2 linked regions of the Elephas maximus indicus genome follow. Each later gene encodes a partner of the first gene's protein in a complex. Links are inferred from orthologs where the notes say so. Each region holds a gene or a part of one and is shown on either strand. Other genes may lie near its edges.

What was found.
Region 2: the proteins of NPR1 (region 1) and NPPA are in contact, whole or in part, in a crystal structure (PDB 7BRG), measured with the Rattus norvegicus proteins. The link is inferred for Elephas maximus indicus from reciprocal best matches to the Homo sapiens genes NPR1 and NPPA. Residues at the interface, in NP_036745.1 of Rattus norvegicus: Asp90, Val115, Tyr116, Ala119, Pro120, Arg123, Ala139, Leu140, Gly141, Ile142, Val144, Tyr148, Tyr182, Asp184, Leu186, Gly187, Asp188, Asp189, Arg190, Phe193, Phe194, Val196, Glu197, Tyr200, Met201, Arg204, His213, Gln214, Glu215, Phe216; in NP_036744.1 of Rattus norvegicus: Arg126, Ser127, Ser128, Cys129, Phe130, Gly131, Gly132, Arg133, Ile134, Asp135, Arg136, Ile137, Gly138, Ala139, Gln140, Ser141, Gly142, Leu143, Gly144, Cys145, Asn146, Ser147, Phe148, Arg149, Tyr150.

What each region holds. Positions count from the first base shown.
Region 1 is NC_064821.1:191,508,671-191,517,743, forward strand, and holds the start of NPR1 (atrial natriuretic peptide receptor 1), read left to right. Parts: upstream 1-4,885; 5' UTR 4,886-5,457; coding exon 5,458-6,169; intron 6,170-7,060; coding exon 7,061-7,260; intron 7,261-7,728; coding exon 7,729-7,842; intron 7,843-8,230; coding exon 8,231-8,366; intron 8,367-9,073. UniProt on the Homo sapiens protein: Receptor for the atrial natriuretic peptide NPPA/ANP and the brain natriuretic peptide NPPB/BNP which are potent vasoactive hormones playing a key role in cardiovascular homeostasis.
Region 2 is NC_064821.1:51,712,541-51,721,857, forward strand, and holds NPPA (natriuretic peptides A), read right to left. Parts: upstream 3,056-9,317; 5' UTR 2,834-3,055; coding exon 2,711-2,833; intron 2,589-2,710; coding exon 2,262-2,588; intron 1,544-2,261; coding exon 1,532-1,543; 3' UTR 1,249-1,531; downstream 1-1,248.

The sequences.
Region 1 (9,073 bases):
CTACTTCTTAATGTTGAGTAATGTATTATGCCCATGTAACCACCACCCAGGTTAAAACAAAGAACATTTCCATGACCTCCGAAAATCACTTCACACCCCTTTGCCCTGCCCCTAGAGGCAATCACTATTCTGATCTCTATTATTATGGATTAGTTTTTGTCGGTCCTTGAACTTCATATAAGTGGACTTATACTGTATGTACTCTTTTATGCCTGGCTTCTTTCGCTCAACTCGTTTTGAGATGCTCGCACAGATTTGCATTGATCAACAATTTATTCTTTTTTATTTCTGAATAGCATTCCCTTGTGTAAATATATCACCATTTGTTTATCCATTCTCCTGTTGATGATGTCAGGACCGAAAACAGGCTGAGACATGCAAACACTTTTGGGTTGTTTCCATTTGAGGTCATATATGTAAAGCTGCTATGAACATTTTTGTAAAAGATTTCTTGGGGTCCTATACATTCATTAATCTCGGGTAGGTGTAGGTGTGTATATGTACAGTATTTAAATTCTATATTTTAAGTCTCAGAAGACTTTAATACTTATTTATTAAATTAATGGTCATTTAGAGGAGCCCATATGTGTGCCATTTTAATGCTCTTTATACCTTCCTGCATCTCCAACCTTCCATCTGGGGTAATACTCCTTCCGCCTGAAGAATACCCTTTAGAATTCAGTGCTTCCCTACTGGTGGCTGACTCTCTTGGTTTTGGTTTGTCTGAATATATTTTTATTTCACCGTTGTTACTGAAGGATATTTTCTCTGGGTATGGAATTCAAGCTTGAAAGTTATTTTCTTGCAGCACCTTTACAATATTATTCTACTGTCTTATGGCTTCCATTTTTTGCTGTAGAAAAAACACTTGTCAGTCTAATTGCTGCTCCTTTGAAAGTAATCTATCCTTTTTTTTTTCTTTTTTAAATATTTTTTCTTTGATTTAGTTTTCTACAGTTTTATTCTGCTGGGTCCAGGTATGGATTTTCTTTTTCTTAACCTTGTTTGAGGTTTGTTGAGCTTCAAGAATCCATGGCTTGACGCCTTTCATGCATTTTTAAACTTCTCAGCCACCTCTCTCCAAATATTGCTTCTACTCTATTATTTCTCTCCTTCCTGAAATTCCAAGTAAAGGTGTGTTGGCCTTTCTCACAGTATCCTCTATGTCTCTTTCATGTTTTCCTTTTCTTTTTTGTTTGTTCGTTTGTTTTCCATGCTTTATTCTGGGTAGTTTCTTCTGTCCTTTCTTCCAATTCACTAATTGATCCTCAATCAAGTCTAACCTGCTGTTAAATGTATCGATTGATCCTTAATTTTGGCTTTTGAATATTTTGGTTCTGGATTTTCTACTTACTTTTTTTTTTTAATAAAAGCTCATCTTTCATGAAATAAGAATCATTATATAGCTTTTAATGTCAAATCAAAGAACCATACTATTGGAAATACAGCACTGTCCCATTCCCACAAAAGTAATCTATTTACTTCAGGTTAACTCTTCTCCTAAATTTCCCCTAGGAGTCCAGCCTTTCGGGGTCGGTCCTAACCTAAAACAGGAAGGTAGTTTACCAGAGTCCTCACCTTTGGGGATATTTGCATTCCAATTTTTGTCTCACTAGCCTTACCACCTGTCTGTCACTTTGTCATATTGTGGTGACTTGCATGTTGCTGTGATGCTGGAAGCTATGTCACGAGTATTTCAAATACCAGCAGGGTCACCCATGGTGGTCAGGTTTCAGTGGAGCTTCCAGGCCAAGACAGACTGGAAAGGAAGGCCTAGCAATCTACTTCTGAAAATTAGCCGGTAAAAATCTCCTGGATCACAACAGAATAGTTTCCAATATAGTGCTGGAAGATGAGCCCCCTAGGTTGGAAGGCACTCAGAATACACAGTGACTGCAACAATGGACTCCAGAATGCCAAGGATCGTGAAGATGGTGTAGGACCGGGCAACCTCCTATTCCATTGTAGATGGGATCGCCATGAGTCAAATCCACTGAAAAGCAGCTAAGAAAAACAACAGCCCGCCAGCCTATTTTCTGCCACCAGTTCTGGATCAGCAAATGAACCCAGGGCAAAAACAGCCCTACAGCTGGGCTCAGCTCTTTGTTTTCTTGTCCTTTCATCTCTCAGACCAACAATTCCTCACTATCTTATTAGTTCTTTGATTTTTGAAAAAATATTTCTTTCAGCACTTGTAGTTGTCTCCAGCTCAGTTATTTAGTCCAGCGATATTGAAAGAGGAGCTCAATAACCATATTTTTCGCAAATAACCTGCACACCTAAATAACGTATCCACACATATAACGCACATACTGCCTAGGAAAATAACGTGCAAGGGGGTTGCTCCGTTGGCAAAAACATAATACGTGCATCATTTGCATAACAACTCAGGGCTAAACTGTATATCTAGTCCAGTCATTTCTTCTGACTCCAGCTCCACTAACCTAGTAGCTAATGAGACACCTCCATTTGGGTATCCACAGTCTTCTCAAACTCAACAGACTAAAATTGTTTTCATCCCCACCCAGCCTCAGTTATTTGTAAACTGTCTTCCCTTCCCAAAAATCTAATTGATTCTACTTTTGAAACATCTCCTATCTACCTCCACTGCCTCTGGAGCCCCCCTTACAGGATACAGACATTAAGCAATCCTTAGTCTATCACTGTCATGGATTGAGTTGTGTCCCCCAAAAATGTCTGTCAGCCTGGCTGGGCCATGAGTCCCAGTATTGTGTGATTGTCCACCATTTTATGTGATTTCCCTATGTGTTGCAAGTCCTATCACTATGATGGAATGAGATGGATTAGTGGCAGTTATATTGATGAGATATACAAGATTAGATAGTGTTTAAGCCAATGTCTTTGAAATATAAAAGAGAGAAGCAAGCAGAGAGACAGGGGAACCTCATACCACCAAGAAAGCAGCGCCAGGAGCAGAGTGCGTCCTTTGGACCTGCCGTTTCTGCACTGGGGTGCTCCCAGACCAAGGGAAGATTGATGCATCACAAGGACCTTCCTTCAGAGCCAACAGAGAGAATCTTCCCCTGGAGCTGCGCCCTGAATTCGGACTTCTAGCCTAGCGGACTGTAAGAGAATAAATTCTCTTTGTTAAAGACATTCACTTGTGGTATTTCTGTTATAGCAGCACTAGATAACTAACACAGTCACACAAAAGCTTTCAGGGTCTGCCCTTAGCAGCAGCTTCTCCTCCTCAGTCATTCCCGTGTGCAAACACCTTACGTGCTAGGTCAGTCTGAAAACAACTCCTACCATGACTAGGCAGGTGATGTGAATGAGTGAAGCAGGGTAGGAACTTGGATGAACTAGGCTCATCCAAAGGAGCTGAGGAGTAATTTGTTCCAGTTGATTGATTATGGGGGCTGCAGGACCGATATTGCCTGCTCCTCCGATATTTCAAGAAAAGCCAGAAATTGAGATGTTTACGTGTCGTCTGCTAATTTTTTAATGCGGGAAATGAAATAAAATATAGGTAGAGAGTGAAGGCCAAACAAAACATGCCTGCCATCTGAATTTGGCCCGTGAGCGCCATTTGCAACCTCCGCTCTAGACCATAACAATATTCAAAATTCTCCTAGAATTCCGTATATAGGAACGATACTTCAGTATTCTGTTCTCTCTGCACAGAATAGCTTTCTTAACCTTCAATTCTTGTCGAATTATTTGTAAATTTTCCTGATCCCCAATCCAGGCAGAATTCATAGCTCTTATCTGAGCACTCTGTGGTGCAATAGGTAAGCCTTTGGCTGCTAACCAAAAGGTCGGCAGTTCGGATCCACCAGCTGCTCCTTGGAAACTGTGGAGCTGTTCCAATCTGTCCTACAGGGTCACTGTGAGTCCGAATCGAATCGACGGCAACGGGTTTGGGTTTTTATGCTTTAAATGTGGGCATCTTAGCAATTTATCCATCTCTCTGTTGTAGTGCTTAACCATATTGTATTGCGCTATTTGTCCCAAACAGAGCTCCTCAAAGGCACGGACTATATACACGCATCAAGCCGGGCGCTTGAACCATAGTCGGTCCTTTGGCAATGTGCGCTGAATCGATGAAGTTTGATCTGTCCTGCCTACGCGCAGGATTGGGGGGTTAGCGACGCAATACCGTCAATGACTTCCACTGACCATTAGAGGGCAGACTGACTCCACGGAGGTCTGGACCAGCTGCCCAACCGTCCAATGCCCCAAATTGTTCTTCCCAATTGACACCTCCACAGGTCATTTCTAACGCCTTCTCCCACCGCCGCAGATCGCATTTTAGCAATCTTCTACAACACAGAGCAAACACATCCACTTTCCGGAAGCGGCCCTGAGGTCACACCTTCCCACCCACCCACCCACCCGAAAAACCAACTTCTTTCAACCTTTTGGGAACTAAAGAGTTAACTCTGTCCTCCCACTTGGTACATTTTCTCGGCTAATCCACTCAATCTAGAAAGCTGTGGGGAGGAAAGGGGCGGGGAACCATAGATGGACTGGGTAACCGGGACTCTGGGCTCGCTTTCTACTTTAACGCCTTTTCTAGAAACCCGTCGCCCTCTCGCCCCACCCCCAGCCACACACAGCCACACACTCACACCTTTTTCTGCCAGGTTCCCAAACTAGCATATCTTTCCCTCTTCCCCAGATGGAACCAGGTGGGAGGGGTAAAACAAGGTGGGTGCAGGGCCCTCGGCTGCTCCCACACACATCTCAATTCAGCGCTCCTTCCCATCCTCGCGAGGGAGCCCCTTCTGCGGGCGCCCCTTTCTGAGGAGGAAAAGGTTGTCCTGCCGAGAAGAGGAAAATGGGTCTAAGACAAAAGCCGCGGGCTGTGGGAGGGTGAAGGGAGCCGGAGACTTCGCGACCGGGAGGAAGGAGTTAAAGATCCAGGATTGGCTCTTCTGTCACCAAGCCTGGGAGGGGAAGCGGCCTGGAGGGGAGGGTTCGGAGCTTGGCTCGGGTCCTCCTCAGTCCCCACCGGACAGCAGGAGACTTGAGCCGGCCGGACACCCCTTCTGGCACACTCCCTGGGGCAGGCATCACGCACGCATACGAACACACTCCTGCTCCTTCCCTCCCTCGCGCCCTCTCCTAGCCTCCCCAGAGCGCTCGTTCTCTAGTTCGTTCCTACCCTCTCTCTCTCTCTCACACACACACACGCACACGCACACGCTCACGCTCACACTCAGATCCTCCCGGCTCGGGCGCTCTGGTTCCCGCGCCCACCTGCTCTGCTGCGCCCTCCGCGCGCCACGGGGCACGCCCGCCCGTCGCGCGCCCTCGCGCTCCTGGCCCTGACTGTCGCAGCCGGAGGCGGCAGCGTGCCCGGGGTGAGGGCCCCCGCCCCGCTCCTCCTCCCTCCTGCAGGGGCGCGCCGGGTGCCGGGACTAGCCGCTGAGCCACAGCGGACCAAAGAGGCCATGGTGGGAGCGCTCGCCCGCCTTGGTGCCCGCTGAGGCCATGCCCGGCCCCGGGCTCCCCGTGGGCGCCCGTCTGCCCCTGCTCCTGCTCCTGCCGCCACTGCTGCTGCTCCGGGGCACCCACGCCGGCAACCTGACGGTGGCTGTGGTGCTGCCGCTGGCCAACACCTCGTACCCGTGGTCGTGGGCGCGCGTGGGGCCGGCCGTGGAGCTGGCCCTAACCCGGGTGAAGGCGCGGCCCGACTTGCTGCCCGGCTGGACGGTCCGCACGGTGCTGGGCAGCAGCGAGAACGCGCTGGGCGCCTGCTCGGACACGGCCGCACCCCTGGCCGCCGTGGACCTCAAGTGGGAGCACAACCCCGCGGTGTTCCTGGGCCCGGGCTGCGTGTACGCGGCCGCCCCTGTGGGGCGCTTCACCGCGCACTGGCGGGTGCCGCTGCTGACCGCCGGCGCCGCGGCTCTGGGCTTCGGGAACAAGGACGAGTACGCACTGACTACCCGTTCGGGGCCCAGCCACGCCAAGCTGGGTGACTTTGTGGCGGCGCTGCACCGACGGCTGGGCTGGGAACGCCAGGCGCTCGTGCTCTACGCCTACCGGCCGGGCGACGACCAACCCTGCTTCTTTGTCGTGGAGGGGCTGTACATGCGGGTCCGCGACCACCTCAACATCACGGTGGACCACCTGGAGTTCGCCGAGAATGACCGCGACCGCTACGCCCCGCTGCTGCAGACCGTGCGGAGAAAGAGCAGAGGTGAGTGGCGGGCACACCCAGCCCCGCCGCTTTGCCCCGGGGCCATCTTTTTTAACTCGATGTAGGCTTAGGGATTCCTTTCGCTCCTCTGGGCCAGTCTTCTTTCTTGTCCCAATGGCTCTTCGCTCTCGTCCCAGGCTCCCTGGACCCTTCTCTCTTCTCACCTCCCAGTCACCTCCACCTCTCCCACCTCTATCCCACCGGGTTCCTTTGGCGTTAACCCATTGCTGTCAGTCAATTCCGACTCATAGTGACCCCATGTGTTACAAAGCAGAACTGAGCTCCATAGGGTTTTCTAGGCTATAATCTTTTACGGAAGCAGATCGCCAGGCCTTTTGTCATGGCACAGGTCGGTGGGTTCAAACTGCCAATCTTAATGTTGGTAGCTGAGTAAACCGAGCGAGAAAATGATCTGCGTCACCCTGGCACTTAGTAGACACCTGGCTTAGTTCCCATTCCTTTTTTTCTCCCCCATTTTCTGTCTCTTACAGCATTCTCCCTTCCTCCATCCCCTCCTGCCATTGCTCCCCCACTAGGGCTCCTCTCCTAGTCCCTTCTCCAGCTGGCTCCTCCTCTCCCTCTCCCACCTCTCCTGGCCCCACCTTCCCCATCTTCAGCTTCTCCACTCTCGCCTCTCCCTTATGCTCTGATCTTTCCACCCTTCCACCCTGTCTGCCTCTTCTCTCCACCCTTCATTTTTCTCCTGCCACAGCCTGGACTGAGCCAGGAGTTGCCACTTAACGCCCACAGGGAGTCAGTCCCCAGGGTCTCTCATGTCCTCATCTCTGAGCTTCCTTCTCTGGGTGTCCCAGTTTTCCTCCCTGGTGTCTTCCCTGTCCCACTCCCCCAGGGCCTAGGCCTCTCTCTCCCTGACTCCCCCTTCTCCCCCAGTTATCTACATCTGCAGCTCCCCAGATGCCTTCAGAACCCTGATGCTCCTAGCCCTGGAAGCTGGCCTGAGTGGGGAGGACTATGTTTTCTTCCATCTGGATCTTTTTGGGCAAAGCCTGCAAGGTGCACACGGCCCTGCTCCCCAAAGGCCCTGGGAGAGAGGGGATGGTCAGGATGTCAGTGCCCATCAGGCCTTTCAGGTGAGTGCCCAGGTTGGAAGCCCAGGCTGTGGGACTCTGCCCTCGTGGCATGTCGCCTCTGGGCACTGGGTCCCCTCAGGGTCTGAAAGGATTCCAAGAAAGACGTTCTTAATGTTCACAGGGAGCTACATGGTGAAGGGCAAGGGGGCTGGGGGGAGAAGGGTACAGAGAACTGGAGTGGGGGTGGGGTTGAGCACCTGGAGGTGAAAAAGATAGGAGAATGGACTTGAGGTGGGAGGACGTCAAAGTCCCACAGACTGGACAGCACTTGGAGAAGCTGTTCCATTCCACTGGACCTCTGGCTTTGAGGCACACACCACCTCATGCAAAACTTAGGGGCCAGTTTTACCTTGAGCTGAGCAGACATACAACTCTGCGAGGTAGGTTCCCAGGTAGCTGGGACCCCAGGATCCTAGGAGGTCTGGAATCTTCTCCCAGCTCTGCCCTCTCCACTGTCCATTTCCTCAGGCTGCCAAGATCATTACATACAAACAGCCGGATAATCCTGAGTACCTGGAATTCCTGAAGCAGCTAAAACACTTGGCCCGTGAGCAGTTCAACTTTACCATGGAAGATGGCCTGGTAGGAGGGGTCCCCTGTCCTGGGACCCTCCTGGCATGAACCCCCAGCCCCATCTGCCGGTCTCCATCCTGTCTTCTCTGCCATCTCACTGGTCCCAGGTCTCCCTTCTCTCCCTTCCCATTGTTTCTGTGTCTCTCCTGATGATGGAGGGGGATACTGGCAAGCTGTTCAACCTCTATGAAACTCTGGTCTTCATCAGTAAAATGGGGACCCTCCTCAGAAGTGAAGCCGTCTTACAAGTAGTAACTCTCTCTTTCACGTGAGGGTGTTATTTTATCCCATCCTCTTCCAAATTCTTGGTTCCCCCAGTTCCCTCTGCCTCAGTGCCCAGCTCCAGCCCTGTGCCCACCATACACTTGACCCCAGTCAAGCTCTGTTTGCCTTACAGGTGAACATCATCCCAGCATCCTTCCATGATGGGCTCCTCCTCTATGTCCAGGCAGTGACAGAGACTCTGGCATATGGCGGGACTGTCACTGATGGGGAGGGCATTGTTCAGAGAATGTGGAACCAAAGCTTCCAAGGTGAGAGGTGCAGGTGGCTAGAGATGGGCCCCTGGAGAAAGCAGTGCGTAGTCACTCACGAACGCCGGTCTTTTTCCCTCACCTATAATATGAAGAACTTCCACAGCTTCCTTCATGCCCTCCTTCCCTTGTCTGCACTAGGCCCAGTGAGAAATCTCCCCAAAAAGACAGTAGATAAGTGGTAACTTTGGTAAAGGGTAAGACAGTACACAATACTGGGGAAGCCAGCACAACTTGTCCAAGGCAATGTCATGGAAGCTCCGTAGACACACCCAAACTCCCTGAGGGACTGAACTGCTGGGCTGAGGGCTGTGAGGACTGTGATCTTGGGGAATGTCTAGCTCAATTGGCAGAACACGGTTTATAAAGAAAATGTTCTACATCCTACTCTGGCAAGTAGAGTCGGGGGTCTTAAAAGCTTGAGCGGCCATCTAAGATATTCCACTGGTCTCACCCCATCTGGAACAAGGGAGAGTGAAGAAAACCCAAGACACAAGGGAAAGATTAGTCCAAAGGACTAACGGACCACAACTATCACAGACTCCACGAGACTGAGTCCAGCACAACTAGATGGTGCCCAATTACTACCACTGACTGCTCTGACAGGGATTACAATAGAGGGTCCCGGACAGAGCTGGAGAAAAATGTAGAACAAAATTCTAACTCACCAAAAAAAAGACCAGACTTACTGGTCTGACAGAGACTAG
Region 2 (9,317 bases), about 140 Mb from region 1:
TTCCAGGTGGAAGAAACAGCATAAGTAAGGGCACAGAGAAGGGCATAGGTGGGTATAGGAGGCCTGAAGGAGGGGCACAGGATCTGATATGGAGAATGAGATTCAGGGGGTAACAGATGGGAAAATAGTTTAAAGTATTACTTCCTGTTCTAGGTGAACTTAATGCCTGGTGTTTTCTGCTTAGGACAACACCCTTTTCAGAAGCAGACTCCAAAATGCTGCATCTCCCCTCGTGGTTCTCATATTCTCAGTAAAGTCCACAAGTCCAGGCACCTTGAACTTGAATTAGGAAAAGCCAATGGCTATATTTTAGGCACATGTGTTAACACTCGAAAGACACATAAACTCTCTGTCAGCAGAGCAAATATTTTTCTTCTCTTCCTCCGTTTTTAAACCCAACACGCTGCCTCCTTTTTTCCAAACTAGAAGTGCAACTCACTCGCCTCCAGCAGGTCGCTCTCTCAAAATATATCAGAGGAAATTCAGTGGTTCTTGAAAATAACTGTAACCAAAAAGCCTACAAGTGCAAAAATTGTCTATTGAGCACAAGCTATGTTAGGTATAACCAGAAAATAAGTCCAGTTGTTTGTAAGTCTGTGTTTCAATAAATAAGTGCCTAGTGGTGTAGTGGTTAAGAGCTACTCTGCTAACCAAAGGGTCAGCAGATCAAATCCACTAGGTGCTCCTTGGGAACTCTATGGGGCAGTTCTACCCTGTCCTATAGGGTTGCTATGAGCCAGGATGGACTTGATGGCAACGAATTTGGTTTGGTTTGGTGGATGTGAGCAAATGCAAACTAAACTTTCTCCTGGGCATTTCTCAGGATCGTGACTGAGGTTAGAACGAAAAGCAGAGCAGGTTGAGAACTGTAGTTTGAGGCCAAAGAAAAAAGGGAGGGAGGGAGGAAGGAAAGAAAAGAGAAAAAAAAACCTGAGCATTCTTCTGACAAAGGGTAAAATGACAAGGAATAAAAAAAGCCTTGTTGCCTTCAAGTCAATTCCAACTCACAGAACAGAGCAGAACTGTCCACATAAGGTTCCCAAGGCTGTAATCTTTATGGAAGCAGACTGCCACATCTTTCTCCCTCAGAGAAGTTGGTGGGTTCGAACCACCAACTGCTGATTTTTCAGTTAGCAGCCATACGCTTAACCACAGCACCACCAGGGCTCCTTTGACAAGGTAAATTGGGCTGGATTCTCTTCCCCTGGAAACGAAAGAAATCACACCAACCCAAGCCATTGGCTTCTGTCCATGGTGCTGACATTTATTCATTTTCAAACCGCTTTCAGTAGCAGGTGGGGTGTATCCTAAAAGTTAATGGCATGGGGGTAGGAGAGGCGGGGGAAGACACAATTAACCCATTTTATCTACAGTTAGCATAAAATATGAGAAACGTTGACCAGAAGCTGCTGCTGGAACAGGTGCTCGTCAACTCGATGGCCATGGGGTAGGACAAGGTTGAGTGAGAGATCCCAGGGGGTGAGGGTCTCGGAGTCTGCCTGGGTCTGGGCCACCTTTTCTTCCCTGGCCATTATCTTCGGTACTACAAAAAGAACACAGACATGTTGGGCTCAGTGACCAGCTCTACAGGAAAAGTCAGCTTTGGATGACAGTGCTACATCTCTGAACTAGACCTCTGACCAGTTACTTCTACCAGCTCCCATGCTCACCCTGATGACTCTCTGAGTTTCAAGAACTGGTAAACAAGTTACTCATTAGCAGCTAGTGAGGGCAGCCCTTGTCAATTTCACTTGATCTTTTGGAATCTTGCAATTCTGGGAAGGAACATGAATGCCAATCAGCAGTACAAAGATGACTTGGGCCTATGAACATTTTAATTTCTCTGTGCTAGTGGCAGTAGGAATGAGCCCTGGTGGTGCCGTGGTTAAGCACTTGGCTGATAACTGAAAGGTCGGCAGTTCGAACTCACCAGCCACTGCGAGGGAAAGCCTGCTTCCATAAAGATTTACAGCCTTGGAAACCCTATAGGACAGTTATACTCTGTCCTATAGGGTTGCTATGAGTCAAAATCCACTTGACAGCAATGGAGAAAAGGGTAGTGGCAGTAGCTGAGGATGATGGCATTTGTCCTGAAGGGCCACCCACCAAGTTAGGGCAGAAATTTCAAAGGGAACAAGCCTTTATGCTGGCTCCTTTCCTGCTGAAAGTGTCCCCTGGTTGTGTTCTTTGACAAGGTTTCAGCTTCAACAAAGCCACAATCTCTTTCCTCCCCACCCCATTTCTACCCCCACTCCTCTTACCCGGAAACTGTTGCAGCCGAGGCCACTCTGGGATCCAATCCTGTCAATCCTGCCCCCGAAGCAGCTGGACCTCCGCAGGCTCCGAGGGGCAGTGAGTAGTGCCCTCAGCTTGTTTTTCAGGAGGGCAGATCTTTCGGAGGAGTCCCAGGGGCCCCTCCCAAGAGCACCCCCATCTCGCTGAGCTGGGCTGACCTCCCTGGTCCAGGGAGGCACCTCAGGCAGGGGGTTGACAGCCACCCCAGCCTCATCATTCTGCTCGTTTAGTACTTGCGGGGGCACGACCTCATCTTCTAAAGGCATCTTGTCCTCCAAATGGTCCAGCAAATTCTTTACAAAAGGAAAATACAGGGAAAGGGAAAGTTCTCATGGGCTCGGAGAAAATCACCAGAAATAGGCACAGTATCAGAAAGCCCCTTGGTCCCAGGCTAAGCCCCCTTTCTTGGCCCTACCTTGAAATCCATCAGGTCTGCATTGGACACGGAGGTGTACACAGGGTTCGCTCTGATTTGACCTGGGAGTTGAAATGCCAGGAAAAGGAGGAAGCACACAGTGATGGTGGAGAAGGAGCCCATGCTGGCGTTGGCCAAGAGCTGGTCTGGTGCTTGCTGCGTCTTCTCCTTCCTCTCTGGGTTCCTTCTCGTGGTCTTCGTCCGTCTCTGCCTACCAGCTGCCCTGAGCCGCCTCCTTTTATAGCCCCCCCAGCTCTCCGAGAGCACAAGAGGGATGGAACCCTCCCCATTCTGTCACTTGCAGCGATAAAGCAGCTGAGTGAGGAGCCAGCAGAAGATGCCCTTTTAAAGTTATCAGCCCAGCAGAGCTTGTCCCAGCCCCTCTGCCTTGAGCAGCCCCAGCAACCCCCCAGACCCTCGGCTACAAGAGCCACATTCTTGCTGATTGGCTTCAAGAGGCTCCCACTTCAAAGGTGTGAGAAGAGCAAAAAAGAGTCCTTGGTTATCTCACAGTGATGCCTCAGGATTCTTTCTCCTCAGCAACAGGACCCATGCAGGGAAGTGAAGGGTGGCGGTTGGCCGGCGCCCAGCTCCCCCAGTTGGTTTGTGGTTCCGCTGGCAGCGGCTCCAAATAAGGGCGGGACAGGAGGAAATGGCAGGCAGCCGGCAGCTCAGGACAAATCAGCCCAGATGCTCAGGCTGGCCTCACACCTGACTCATGAGCAAGCGTGGCAGACCTCCTGCCTCTGTTTGAGACAAGACCGCCCACACTTCTGATAGTCACTCTCAGCAGTCAGGTGAAGAGGGAGCTATTTTTTAGAGTATTAAATCAGCCAGGAACCAAATGTGATGAACGTCTCAAGAATTCAGCTCCCAAATACAAACACCAAGAAAAGCTGGGGGAATCAGTCATTCCTCTTCCAAACTCTGTCTCCTTCCCATCCCCCATGATCCCATCCAAGGTGTCCAGGGAGGTAGGCACTTAGAAGATGCCGGTGTTTTTATTTCTTCACCTCACTGTTTATAGAAGCTCAGACTTGTTGAGTTTGATGCTTGTAATGGCCCCCCACCCTTCCCATGAAAGCTTTGATGGCTGGATACAATGAGGTGGGAGGCAAACCTGATGTACACAGTTTCCGTTAAAACCCACCATGTCCTTCTCCAGGGCCAGCCAAGTGACTGAACCACTTAAGGCCTCAATTTTCCTGAACCCCAAGGACAAATAATAGGCAGCGAGTCTGTCCACATTTAATGAGTGGCCCCCACATTCTAAGTGCTGAACTCGACTTTAGTATACCATTCAATGCAACGCATGTTGCTGTTGTTAGCTGTCATAGAGTTGGCTCCGTCTCATGGCGACCCCATGCACAACAGAAAGAAACATTGCCCATTCCTGCCCCATCTTGATGATCGTTGGTATAGCTGAGTCCATTGTTGTAGCCACTGTATATTTTGGGTGCCTTCCAGTCTAGGGGCTCATCTTCCAGCACTATATTGGACAATATCCTGTTGTCCATGGGGTTTTCATTGGCTCATTTTTGGACATAGATGACCAGGTCTTTCTTCCCACCCTCTTAGTCTGGAAGCTCCACTGAAACCTGTCTGCCATGGATGACTAGGCTGATATTTAAAATACCAGCGACATAGCTTGTAAACAAGCTTAGCATAGCAATATGCAAGTCACCGTTGTACAACACACTGACAGACAGCTGGCAATGCATACTGGAAGAAAAAATACTAAAACTGAAAGGTTGAGAAACCTGCATTGTAGCCCAAAAACAAACCAGTTGCATAAGTTTTTGGGACCCCCATTTCCTCATCTATGAGAAAAATATAAAAAGCTGTCCTGCCCACTTCACAGGGCAGTTGTGAGGCTCAATAGAGCCAGCACTGTGTGAAGTGTGAGATGCTATATAATTGCAAGGGGGTAGTAATGATGGTCTTTTATTGATCAGTTACAATGAGCTGGCACTCTGCTGAGAGCTTGATGTGAATTACTTGATTTTCCTCACCGCTCCCAGGAGGTGGGTAGTATTGTTCCCATTTGCAGAGAGCCAGAACTGAGACTTGGAGAGATTATGTCACTCGCCCAAGGCCATGTCATTTGCCCAATTGGCAGAACCAGGACTTGAGCCCCAGGTTTGATACTTAAGCCCATGATCTTAACCCATTTCACATGGCGGCTCATTAACAAGCCCTTGGGTGCATTTCCTGATTAAATGCCTCCCCCCACACTTGATCTCTCCCATTACCCTGAACATCTCTTGCCTCCTACTGCAGCTGGGCTTGTAGCTTTGTGTGTGGGACAAATCTCTCTGTGTTTGGCTGCTCTCCCCATTTGGATTTTCTTAAAGAAAGGGCTCATCCAGTCCCCATAATCTGTTTACACACCTAATACCAACCAGAATGCTCCTTAGGAGCTAGAATAACAAGACTTCAACTCACTTACTTTGGACATGTCATCAGGAAAGACCAATCACTAGAAAAGGACATCTACTTGATGAAGAACAAGGCCAATGAAAACAAGAGAAACCCTCAATGAGATGGAGTGAGAGAATAATCTCAATAATGGACTCAAACATACCAACGATCATTAAGATGGTGCAGAACCAGGCAATATGTAAGGTCGCCATGAATGGGAGCTGACTCAATGGCAACTAATGACAACATGGAAATTCAGAAAATGTATGTTGAACAACCAGCTCTGTCCTGGCCAAATCCTTCTGCAGCTGCACTTACTCTGTGACCAACCAGGCAGAGAGGCTGTTACACCATGAGAAGACAGGGCATTAGGGCAGTTGGTGGCCAGAGGTCCCCACAGGTGTGCAGAGTGATTTTATTGTAAGACGGAAGGAAAAAGGGATCCTCTTCAGAAAGCTTGGGGGTTTGGGTAACTTATCTGGGTCAGTCAAACTCAACTTGGCATCTGAAATGGGCCACAGTTCTGAGTAGGAGCTCTGGGAACTAAACACCCCCATACCCTGATGCGTCCCCGAAATGTGCTCACAGCATAATTGCTCGGCTGGAAGTTATTATTAGCAGAGAGGATCCAGCCTGCAGCCACGCTGGGGGGAGCTGATGCCGCGTGCGTCACACAGCCTGTCTCCTGGAGATGCCCTTTGAGATAGGCCTTTGATGGAGGAAGACTTCGAGGCCTGCATCAAGGCAGGTGGCCCCTTCTTGATGGCTCGGCCTCTGAGGGCCACGTGGCTGCTCTACCCTGAGTCATTTCTGAAGCCTGTAGGAGACTGTAGGTGGCCCAAGGTGAAGTAGAATCTCATCCAAGATTCCAGAAAGACAATTTCGGAATTTGCTCGCTTCCTTTTATTGCAGTCACTTTTCTGCTCCCAGAGTGAAACTAGAGTGGGACACAAGCATCATTTGTTGAGTTTCTTCTGCTAGTCAAATTTGTGTTTGTGTGTGTGTAAGTTTTATTATTATTATTTTTTTCTAAGACAAAGGACATTCAGGCTTCCTGCCCTGAGGGCTTTCATAGAGCCAGGACTACCACCTCCCAGGGCCCAGCGAAAACAGAAAATCCTCAAAAGCACTGATATCCCCATTAAAGCTTTTGATTTCAGCCTGAAATGGAAAATGGCTTGACATAACATTTCTCTTCACTTCCATGCCCTGCTCAACTTCGGGGTGTGTGTGGAGAGGTGGAGGAAGGGGTGTTTGGAAGCCAGTCTGTAGGAGTGAGAGAGAGAAAAAAGCAAAAGACGCAAAAAATCAGATCCACCCTCCACCCCTACCTCTCTAGCTGAAAAATCGCAAGTGTTTATTTCTTTATCACAGGCAAGAAGTTGTCTTAGTCAAATGAGAGAATGAGCAGTGCGGATGGGTAGGAGAACCCAGAGTCTGGGCGTCTCCAGTTGCTAGACCAGAGCTTGGTCTCACAACCTTCCATGGGAATGTGGGGGCTGCTGCAGGGAGCACACGTGGGCAGAACTAGCAGGAAAAACCCATCTCAGTCATAACATGATTCTGTCAGACCCAGATAGTCTAAAGCAGAAGCCCCAGTTGGGAGAAACTGTTAGGACGCCGTTGCATACTTAGGGACGGTTGTTTCTGAGTTTGAAGGTGCTGTTCTTTTTCTTGCATACAATATGGACTCACTGGGGACTGGAAGCCCAGGGCAGGTCCCAAAGTAGAACAAGGAAATAGAGAAAGCTACTTCCTCAGCTGGATAGTGACTACCATGAGAGCAGTGATTCAGCCTGGTTCACTGCCCACCTTCCCTAGGAAACAAAGCCCAAGGCAAAAGCTCACTTACTGCAGCTTTATAGGGGTTCCAATTCAAGGTAAGAAGGCATTGGTAGTTCAGTGGTAGAATTCTTACCTGCCATGTTGGAGGTTTGATTCTCAGCCAATGCACCTCATGTGCAGCCACCACCTGTCTCTCAGTGGAGGCTTGCATGTTGCTATGGTGCTGAATAGGTTTCAACAGAGCTTCCAGACTAAGATAGACTAGGAAGACAGGCTTGGCAATCTACCTCTGAAAATCAGCCAGTGAAAACCCTGTGGATCACAATGGTCCAATCCACAACTGATCATGGGGATGGTGCAGGACTGGGATTGTTTCATTTAGTTGTGAATAGAATAGAACAAAAGTCATGGGATGTCACTTCTGACTTTAGGTGACGATGAGACTATGGCTTCCATCATTGCCCCATCTCCCTGTCTGTCCGTCTCTCTTTTGTGCACATGCTTTCTCACTCCATCTAAGAGGTCAGTTGCCACATTGTGAGCTGCCTTATGTGGCAAGGAACTGAGGTCTTCAACCAACAGTCAGCAAGGATCCAAGGTCTGGTCCTCAGGTTCCATCTCTCCTTGCCAGTTGGAGCTGCTCCTGGGAACATATGGTGGTAGTACCAAGGGAGGAGGGTAGTGGCAGCCACCAGGGCTTCGAAGTCACGGGAACCATACCAGCTGTTGTTAAAGCTGTATTTCCTGGGAGTCAGAGGTATAGGCGGGCCAAGCAGATATGAGGTTGAGCATGAATCAACTTCAGGACACTACGGCACCCAGCATCTAGCACAGACTCCAGAACATGTTTTCAGAACATGTTTTGTGAATAACTGAACCAACAAGTTTGCCTTCAGTGCCTCCCCTCCCCTCCTTCAACCAGGTACAGACCCACTACTGCACCTTGCCCTCCCTCGGTCCCCAGCAGAAGTGGAAATCACTCTCTGGCTGAAGCATGAATATTCTGATCTCTCCACTGATGCAGGAAGAAAAGGATTAGGGGAGTCTGGATAGAAAGGTCAGCTAGGAAGTAGGAAGTGGTGTACCCATATCAGCATAAGTGATGAGGGGCTGAACCAGGAAGAGAAGGGAAGGAGATGCTATGAAGGAAGGTAAGAGTGGAGGTGGTGCCTGCTTGGGAAGGTCCACCGAGAGAATGAAGTCAAGAAAGATTCCAAGTTGATTGCCATCGAGTTGGTTCCAAATCACCGGGACCTATGTGCAACAGAACAAAATACTGCCATCCTCACAATTGTTGCTATATTTGGGCCCATTGTTGCAGCTATTGTGTCAGTCTCTCTTGTCCACCTTTCCTGATTTTGAACCGTGAAATATCCTCTTGTTCCGTTCAAACAACTCCTTCTTGATCTATGTATACTTTCCTCATGAGCACAATCAAGTGTTCTGGAAAGAACACTTAAAGTCAGCAAAGTTGTGTGTCAGGGTTGTACCCTTTCACCATACTTAATTCGATCTGTATGCTGAACAAATAACCCGAGAAGCTGGACTATATGAAGAAGAACGGGGCATCAGGATTGGAGGCACATTCATTAACAATCTGGAATATGCGGATGACACAGCCTTGCTTGCTGAAAGTGAAGAGAACTTGAAGCACTTACTGATGAGGATCAAAGACCACAGCCTTCAGTATGGATTACACCTCAACATAAAGAAAACAAAAGTCCTCACAAGTGGAACAATAAGCAACATCATGATAAACAGAGAAAAGTCTGAAGCTGTCAAGGATTTCACTTGGGTCCACAGTCAACACCCATGGAAGCAGTAGTCAAGAAATCAAAAGATGCGTTGCATTGGGCAAACCAGCTGCAAAAGACCTCTTTAAAGTGTTGAAAAGCAAAAATGTCACCTTGAAGACTAAGGTGCACTTGACCCAAGCCATGGTGTTTTCAATTGTCTCGTATGCATGCAAAAGCTGGACAAGGAATAAGGAAGACCAAAGAAGAATTGACGCCTTTGAGTTGTAGCGTTGGCGAAGAATATTGAATATACCATAGACTCCCAAAAGGATGAACAAATCTGTCTTGGAAGAAATACGACCAGAATGCTCCTTAGAAGCAAGGATGGAGACTATGTCTCACATACTTTGGGCACATTATGAGGAGGGATCAGTCCCTGGAGAAGGACATCATGCTTGGTAAAGTAGAGGGCCAGTGAAAAAGAGGAAGACCCTCTACAAGATGGATTGACATGGTGGCTGCAACAATGGGCTCAAGCATAACAAGAATTGTGAGGGTGGTGCAGGACCAGGCAATCTTTTGTTCTATTGTATGTAGTGTCGCTATGAATCGGAACCAACTTGATGGCACCTAACAATAACAACAACATGTCGTCCAGGCTCTTC